Linked DNA regions of Arabidopsis thaliana. The protein of the gene in region 1 interacts with the protein of each later gene in a pairwise test. Each region holds a gene or a part of one and is shown on either strand. Other genes may lie near its edges. The genes, in order: MEE3 and AT1G68160.

Region 1 (3,850 bases):
AAGAAGGTCGCTGTGAAGCATCGTGACGATGAGAATATCAGTAGTGCCCCAATGCCTACTAGCAGAATTTCTTGGCAACTTGCAATCTATTATCTCTCTGGAATATATTGTGCCCCAAGGCCTCATTATTGTTAAGATTCTTTCTCTGTTTAAAGTTTTCCTTCTCGATAAGAAGTTTCGCCGCCCCTACCCTGAAACCAAACCATGACATCTTAGAAACAGAACCATCCATTATCATAACTAGAATAAAAATATCTTAATAATATAAGTGCTTATATTGGCATATATCCAGAAAGAGAGCAAATTAAAGTATCATAAGACCTATACACGTAAAGGAATATCATCTTACTTAGCAAAACTAATAACATTTAGTGAAATGGATAAACACTATTATCAAGAAAGATCCGAGAAGTATGGTTCTTAAATAGCTTTACTTTAAAAAGTGTGTAGACAATAACTTTATATAGTCTTGTGGTCTTTTGATAACAAACCTGATTCAATAGTGATAAGATATGAGTATGGTCCTCCATCTCCCATGGGACTTTGAATCACCTGTGTTTCCGAGAGAGGGAAAATCTTGAGACTTTAAATCAAAATGTCAACTTTATTATGAACTAAAAATCAAACAACAAGTGGATCATTAATGAACAACCTTTGTTGCATGAAAAGAAAATCTTCAAATCTTTTAAAGAATGAAACAAAATGCTCACTTTCTGAGATAAAACCAAACAACAAGTGGACCATTTATGCATGTTGTCTTTTTGCCAAGTATGTATATTATTAGTCCTATTGTGCATTATTTAGCAACCTAATTTAGTTATATGACAATAATCTATTTGCCCATCCCAACCCTGGATTCTTACCAAACAAGGTAATTAAAGTGTTCATGTGAAACATTAATGTTTGTATTTTGTAATACGACAACTTTTGGTTCCCGCCCATATTCAATAATGCAGACACTAAAGAACAGAAGAAACAATTTGAATATCCACCAAGAAAAGTGATTATTTAACAAATTAACAACCAAGAATCTACATTAGACAATATATGACCAAGAAAAACACAGTTGCCTAACTTCAAGGAGATGGACCCAACAAGCCAAGGAAAAAAAAAGGTAGGTAAACAATGTTGACGTTTATTTTTTTCAACAACAAGAAAACACAGAAAAATGTCGATGATTGTACGGAAAGATCATCAATACAGCTAGATAAATTGATATGGTTTTCATGGCAGAGAATCTCAAGGTAAAGCTCTGCCCCCACTTTTCTTTAAGAATTCTTCTTATACAAGAGAATATATGACTTATGGTGAACACACGAAAAGCTCCAACTTTGTGTTTGTGGATACAAATTAATCCTCACAATGTTTCAAAATCACTGAGATTTTTGATAAGAAGGAAATCTGATTAGTCAATGAAAATCATCTGTCAATAGAGACTTGTCCCTAACTTTCAACCAAAGACTTGTAATTTTCCGCGAGCACGTGAGCTTTGTGCTCTGATTAGAGACCAGACTGTTCCATGAATTAAGTACCATAGGTAGAGAGATTTTCCTAACTATTTATTACCTAAACTGTTTCTTTTTGACAAGAAGCTTAATCTAGAGAATGACGTCATAACCACTAATTGGGAAAGAAAAGTAAACATATTAGTTATAACATTTATAGAAAAGTGTGTCTAGGGAGCATCATATGCCAAATATGGATGGAAAAACGCAATCTTTGGTTGATTAGTTTGGATCTTTGATACTGATCTCCACAAAAAAATTTGCTCATATTCTTTTCTAGCTATAGAGACAAAGACTTAAAATTCTCTTTGTTTTGGCAAAGATATCTTTTAACAACTGGCCCTACCCCACACCAAAACCTCTTTATAAAGAGCAAGGACTCTGCGACATCTGTGCAACATATCATTTCCTCAGAATCTCTTTCTTTTCTAGGTTTATTACTACACAAAACCAAACATCATCAACTTTAGTTACTAAACAATGGCATCAGGCTCAATGTCTTCTTATGGCTCTGGCTCATGGACTGTTAAGCAGAACAAAGCCTTTGAGCGTGCTCTAGCAGTCTATGACCAAGACACTCCGGACCGTTGGCACAATGTTGCTAGAGCTGTTGGTGGTAAAACACCAGAAGAAGCTAAGAGACAGTATGACCTTCTAGTTCGTGACATCGAAAGCATCGAGAATGGTCACGTGCCATTCCCTGACTACAAGACTACTACAGGAAACAGCAACAGAGGCAGGCTGCGTGATGAGGAAAAGAGGTATATTTGTTGCAATCTAATAAGACACAATTTATGCTAATAACAAGTAATCAACTTTGTTTATCCATAATAGCCCACTATAAGATACTTCTATAGACAAGTTCTATTCCAATACCATGACAAGAAAACATAAAGGGCATGTCTGTTTCAGCATAAAGCTTGTTACTTTACAGAGATTCTCTTGACTTTCTATCATATTGAGTTATAAGAGGCTCTAAATCAGCCAAGTGTTCTCTTCTCAGTGTTCTTCAGGCTTTATCAGAACCAAAACTAAAAGCTCCCACAACAAAAAATATGCCTAGAAATAGAATCATTCCTTGTCAATATGGTATCTAATATTAATCGATTCCCAAATCTTTCCCCTAAGAAACTTCCAGAAACAAAAATAAACCCACTCATCATCATGAAACTCGAACCAACAACATTTTAACCTGTTTAACATTTTTTTTTTTTATTGCAGGATGAGAAGCATGAAGCTGCAGTGAGACAAGAAGCAACAAAACCTAACTACGTATGATCGTCAAAATAAAAGAGAATCACTTCAGAGAGATGTGTTTTTTTCAATGTCTGACGAATCAATGTTTTTTTCTTGCAATTTCTCATGTTTTTCCCTAAGAAATGGTTTTTTTTTCGAGGCAACAAAAAAAAAATAACACTCGAATTTGTTAACCAAAATCTGTATTTAGGGTTCTTCGTAATGAAAAATCCAATGTCTAAATGTTAATTATATATTACAATTATGCTTAAAACGAGTAATTCGTTCACGGACCTTGAAATCAACGAATCAATCTCTCAACCAATCTGAATCAATGTTGCTTCAAAATGGAAAAATCCAAATTCATAAATCAATTAAATATTGATCTTAACTATATATTGGAGCATCCAATAATGCAAAGTATGCGAATCGGACAAGAAGAAGTCTCGAAATCAACGAATCAATTAACCAATCTCTATTTTTAGGGTTCTTCGAAATTGGGGAATTGTTTCAATATTTAAACTCAAGTGTTGATAATTGGTGAATCACTGTTTATGGAGAATCTAACAATGTCACGGGACGAGAAGAACTCACCTCGAAAAATCTGCAATTTCTGATCGCAATCTTCAAATTCCAGCGAAATCGATGAGAGTTTCAATTTGGGAATTTCATAGATAAACCCCAAATTTCAATTTTTTTTATTTTCTGGGTAGATAATTAAAATTGGGCGGGAAATCTGATGCTTCCAAAAATAGGTCACGTGCAATTAACTAATTATACACACATATACCGTGCGGATACGAATTTGTGTCCTTCTTACAGTATACGAATACATGTATATGTCTCTCACCGTATTCTTCTTTTTTTTTTTTGGTAAAATACAGTATTTTATTTTCTTTAAAAGTATGTAATAATGGGCAAAAAACTTTGTTTTGGATCTTTTCTCAAACATAGCACATTAAGTTTAAGATGATTGAATAATACGTTCTAAGTTTCTAACTATTGTTCCAAATATGTAACTAAACAACTTCCTCTTTAATATATCAACCAAGACGAGAGAGGTCCAAACCATGTTCGGGGAATTGAGAAGTGATTCTCTGATCCAAACC
Region 2 (5,541 bases), on another chromosome or scaffold:
TTCGTCTATGTACTTTATATATTACTTTATGTCCAATGTAGAATTCATAGCATGTCATAACCACATTTGAATGGAATGAAACTATGTATATATATATAGTTGATAATGAGATTTGTTACATTGTGAAGGTGCAAAGGTGTTTAGAAGACATGTCAATACTGATAACAACCTACGAAGGAACACATAACCATCCACTTCCGGTCGGAGCAACAGCCATGGCTTCCACTGCCTCTACTTCTCCATTCTTGTTACTCGATTCCAGTGACAACCTCTCTCATCCTTCCTATTACCAAACTCCTCAAGCCATAGACTCTTCTTTGATTACATACCCACAAAATAGCAGCTACAACAATCGAACCATAAGAAGCTTGAACTTTGATGGTCCATCTAGAGGAGATCACGTTTCATCTTCTCAAAACCGATTAAATTGGATGATGTAGAGTTTCCTATATCTCTATGCTTGTTCTTTGGTCCCATTATTTGTCATTATGGATTCTTTGCCTTTCTTCTTGTTCTCGTTTCTAACATTTATGTTTCGTATATACAACATCGAAGGTTTCGGATTGTTTTATTTCGTTCAATGTTGGCTTATGAAAAATAAAGATTGATTAATGCTAAGAAAAAATGGGTACCAAAACAACACACCAAAAGATCAAAAGATTAAAGATGCAAATCTCAACACGCTCTTCAATAGAATCTTTTTTTATACACATCGATCGCTTAGAAATTCTCCAAGACACTAATTGAACTAAGTTTATCTAATAGAACTTGTTAAGAAGGTTTTTTAGTTAGGAGCCAGGACCAAGAACCCCTACATTCGTTATATTATGTCTTGTTTCAACATCCCGCGCAGCAATAAAGATCGTTGGTGTTACGAAAGAATCACATTTCTACAAACTTCCCAACATTTGATGAGCTTTTTTTTACCTCCTCCAGCTTCTTTAGGATAATTTACAGGTAACTAAGGGAAACCAGATGATTTCCTAAGACTTCTACTTCCTATGGAAGCCGCCACTTTGCATCGTATTGAATGGCATCATCACCTGGTACAAATCGAGGAAACCAAAGTCATTGATATTGGGAAGCTATTATTCTTCTGCTCTATTTGCTCTTGATAGACATTTCTACAAACCAAAACATTGAAAAACTGGTCTTAAGATACTCAGCTAGTTAGAAGCACAATAATTCTATATTTTGAGCACTTGAACCAGAGATATGGGGTTTGAACTACGGTAGTGTCTGAGGTAAAACAAGCAAATGGGTGATGTGGACATTTTGATATCTAAAACAATGGACTGTTAATGCAAAAGTGAGCAGCCTATTAACTTACTAAAGTAGTATTACTCACCGAGAGATCATCATTGATTGTGACTGGCAATGGTGGCATCTTGTTCATCAATCCAGGCATATTATTTATCCTGCCAAATCAAGACAACGTCTGGTCACTAAGCTCCACAAAACTTATACACAAAATGTTTAAAGTATCAACTTACTCATTTTGGATGGTGATAAGGTTGTTCCTTGCCTGACGAAAGAGATCTAGGTTATCCCCTGCCTGTTTGCAATTATCATTACGGAGCGGTTTTAGCAAGAACACATTTGCATTCCTTTAAACAAGGTAATCTAGAACTTACCTTATATGAGGAGAGATTAGCTCTAATTTGACTAAAAGCTCGTACATTCTGTTCTATAAGATTTGTTGCATAGCTACTTAAATCTGAAACAGAACCACGAAAGAATCAGTAAGAAAAGAAAAGAGACTAAAGATTATTGTGACTTCAACAAAACTTCATATGAAAGAGAGCTTAAAGGATCATCTTTACAAGGTAATAGGATCAGAGAGCGGACTTAAATAGAATTTCACCATTTAAACATACAATAGTCATTATACTCCTTTACTAGATGTATGAAATAAATAATCTCAAGAATGCACCTCTAGAGAAGGACAATGCAGTTAAGAAACCAATTTCAGTATCTATGGGTAAAGGCTTCTTCCAAGACTAAACTACTTTAGAGACGTAGTTATGTTAGCATCGTCCCAAGAAGCTAAAAGTCTAGCTGAAATACACTAATCCCCTATGAACTTATTTATATAACAAAATACATACTTAAACGACATTTGCACCATAATACATACATCAAAACGTATTGCCTCCTTTTGAAAACAAAATATGATGTTAATGTGTGCATGTCAATGAAAAAAAAGACCTGGAGTTAGCAAATTCAGGTGGAAATCTCTCAGATAAAGATAGATGTTAACCTTCAGACGTAATTTGTTTACTGGTGCTTGTAGATGGCCCTGAGAAAGGATATGAAGCCATGTTATGAGGCAAAACAGAGGGAATGCTTGACTTAGACGACGATTCCACCTGCTTGCCCTGAAGAAATATAAATCTTTTAGTACAAAAACCTAAATTAATCAAAAGATATTCAATCTCAATCCTAGCATCATCTTTCAATCGAACTTACAAAAAAGTCACTCATCAAAATTGAACAAATGGCAAGAATTTCCAATATACCTTGCTAGAACTTGCTCTTCTTCCACAGTTTAATTCTTCTGATTTTCTTCTCTTTCTCTATGCAAAACAAAGTCAGTACATCAACAGACGAAGACAAAAGGTAAAAGTAAGAAATGATTCAGTATATAAGAGAAGAGAAGATTTTGTTCAAAACTCAAAGACTGTTATGCTCACTATTCTCATCTCAAGAACTCAATATTGATACAACTCAGGCATCAATAAGACCAAAAAGTCCATCCTAAGGCAAAACCATTTCATTCTGTGTACTGTAGTTTAAGAAGCTATGTATGAAATCAGAACATGTAGAAACTGTTCCCTGTGTATCATTTTTCTTTGCTATACATATATCATTCATGGCATAAGCGTAGAACTACATGACTGAAAAATGGTCACAAGAAAGCTACAAAAACCGTCAGAACAAGGCAGATATGTGAAGAGAGATACTTACCCTCAGCCACCTACACCGCAAAGCAATATCTCGAATACTTTTATCAGGTAAAGTGTTTCCAATTTGAATATACATATCAATACTTGGCATATCCTTATATCTACAAAAAACACAGAATCAGATCATATCAAATTCCACAGAACAAAAAACTATCTTCATATCCTCATTAATGTTAAGAAATCACAAAACAAGAAAGACTCACTTTTCAAGACCAGCATCCAATATGTATTGTTCTTCATTTGACCATTCACTAACCATGGAAGTATCAAGCTTTAGACCAGAACCCGAATCGGAACCATTCGAAGAATTCCCGGTTTGAAGAAAACCAGGAGAACCAACATTGATCATATTCATATTCATCCCCAAGTACGGACTCATTGGAGTCATCTCCGAAGAAGTGTTAGATTGGAAATTAATAGCGTGACGACTCATCATAGAACTCAAAGAATCGAACCCAGAATTTGATTGAGTAGCCATCCACATAATCGAACACAAACCCAAATAAAAAGATTAAAACTTTAACAATTAGAAATCAAACCCAAAACTCTCCTTTGATCAGATATGAAAAAAGGATCAAACTTTGAGAAGGTGAATCATCTTACGCCATGGATAAAGCTTGGAACTTTATAAACCCTAAGTTAAGTTCTCACAAAGAAACCAAAATTTGATTTTGTTTACCAAATCACAATTTTTTTTTTCTTTTTTTTTTTTTCTCTTGTCCTCTGTATATTAGACAGAGCAGCCTTGTAAGCTATAAGCCAATGAAGGATTTTTAGACAAATAATGAAAAAATTATTAATACATTACTTTATGACTTTTCACCATATTGATGATAAACTTAATTGAAATCTAATATTAATTATTTTCCAACACAATTAGTTGAAATGGAAAAAAATGGATTTTGACTATAAAAGTAAGTAGGAATGGGGAATTTTAGAAAAGATTCTCTTCCTAAATTGAAGGGAGAGATATGACTAAGAACATATTCATTTTTTTTTTTTTACTACCAAAATTAGTAGAAAAAAATAAGAAAATAGGTAAATAAATAAAAGAGATGGTTGGCAGATCGTGGAATTTAGTAAATAGTGCGAATCCCAATAATAAAGCATTTGATGCCTTTCTTTCTTCTACCTCACTTTTTTTATTCCAAAAAGTTTTATCAAGTAGACAAGATTTTTTTTTTTTTTTTTTGTTTTCTAATAATGTCAATGTGTGACATCCTCGTTGTCAAAATCTCAAGATATATGAATTTGATTCATATTTTTTCTTTATGTTAATACAAAAATTAATCTTAGCATCTCAATAATTGTGGGATAAACTGATCCGTTCGTACAATACTTTTACAATTATATGCGACTATGAAAATAATTGGACTCATAGTTATGAACCAATAACAGAAGCAAGCATATAAAAATCGATGAAGAGTTTTTTTTTTTTTTTTTGATATTTAAGAAATTATTGATACACTAAATAGATCAAGAAATATATTCATACACCAAAATGATGTTTTGATTTCTGTTTTTTTTTGTCAACATTTATAAGGAGCGAGACTCGATCCTCGATGTCATGTTCTCAGTGGACTTATCATTTGCAACAAGACTACTATCACTTAACAATTTTGATTTCTGTTTACTATCTAAATGCCATCAGCTTTTATAATTTTCATTTTTTTTCACTAGATAAGTTAGGTTTTTTAAAATTTGTTATTAACTCACACTTCAAATCTTATCAAGATTTTACTAAGGTAAAATTGATGTACCGTCGTTTCTTTGTCGTTGCAATTTTCCTCGATTGATGTATGCTCTATTAGTCCAAATTCAATTTTCATTATCCCCAACCCGTATAAGTGAATTAACATAAGCTTCTGGTAAAAAATGCTTATCAAATGAAACATGTTAAAAGTCATGGACACTTAAACATATTATCAGGCCTGACGTTTATATTGGGCCACATGCTATATTTGTAAAAGACTAATTTTATACGCATTTAAGATTTTGCTTAAGAAACGAATAAATTTGGGCTCTAAAATGCTATGAGCCCAATAAACTGCACATTATACTTGCTCCACTAACAGTAATACAGTTTCCTTTTTTTTGGTAGGCTAATCTGAACAGTTTCCTAATAATGCAAATCAATATAATTAATTAAAGATTTGTTTCATTCAAGTTAATTTAACTCCGAACATTATGTTATGAAGAAGAGAAAGACTTTGTTGTTGGACTTGATGCACTCTTTCGCTCATTAAGGTGATCCATACATTTTAATTTCAAAATTGTTGGCAGGAACTAGATTTTGGTTTTACTGATTTACAATGTTATTAACTACAAAAAAAACAAAAAACAAAACAAATAAGTTATCATATCTATCAAGTCTCAACTATTAACTTGTGGCCTTAGCATCTCCAAATTTCTACATTATCCCTGCTTTTGGTTTCTTTAAGACTTTAATCCCAACCTTAATTCACAGTTTTTTTCTCATATATATAGTCCTCATCATGTAAGTAAGTCCTAGCTAATTTTGCTGAAACCACTCTCTCATATTAATTTTTCGTAATATGTTTAGAAATTAGAAAAT

The links.
Region 2: the proteins of MEE3 (region 1) and AT1G68160 interact in a two-hybrid assay, tested with the Arabidopsis thaliana proteins (one study listed by BioGRID).

Annotation. Positions count from the first base shown.
Region 1 is NC_003071.7:9,257,669-9,261,518, forward strand, and holds MEE3 (Homeodomain-like superfamily protein), read left to right. Parts: upstream 1-1,842; 5' UTR 1,843-1,985; coding exon 1,986-2,266; intron 2,267-2,726; coding exon 2,727-2,751; 3' UTR 2,752-3,029; downstream 3,030-3,850. UniProt on the Arabidopsis thaliana protein: Probable transcription factor. Required for female gametophyte development.
Region 2 is NC_003070.9:25,545,176-25,550,716, forward strand, and holds AT1G68160 (ZZ-type zinc finger protein, putative (DUF3755)), read right to left. Parts: upstream 3,720-5,541; 5' UTR 3,451-3,719; coding exon 3,170-3,450; intron 3,068-3,169; coding exon 2,968-3,067; intron 2,577-2,967; coding exon 2,520-2,576; intron 2,379-2,519; coding exon 2,261-2,378; intron 1,718-2,260; coding exon 1,635-1,717; intron 1,556-1,634; coding exon 1,494-1,555; intron 1,419-1,493; coding exon 1,349-1,418; intron 1,044-1,348; coding exon 993-1,043; 3' UTR 583-992; downstream 1-582. Other genes in the region: WRKY9 (WRKY DNA-binding protein 9), read left to right, coding at 129-440.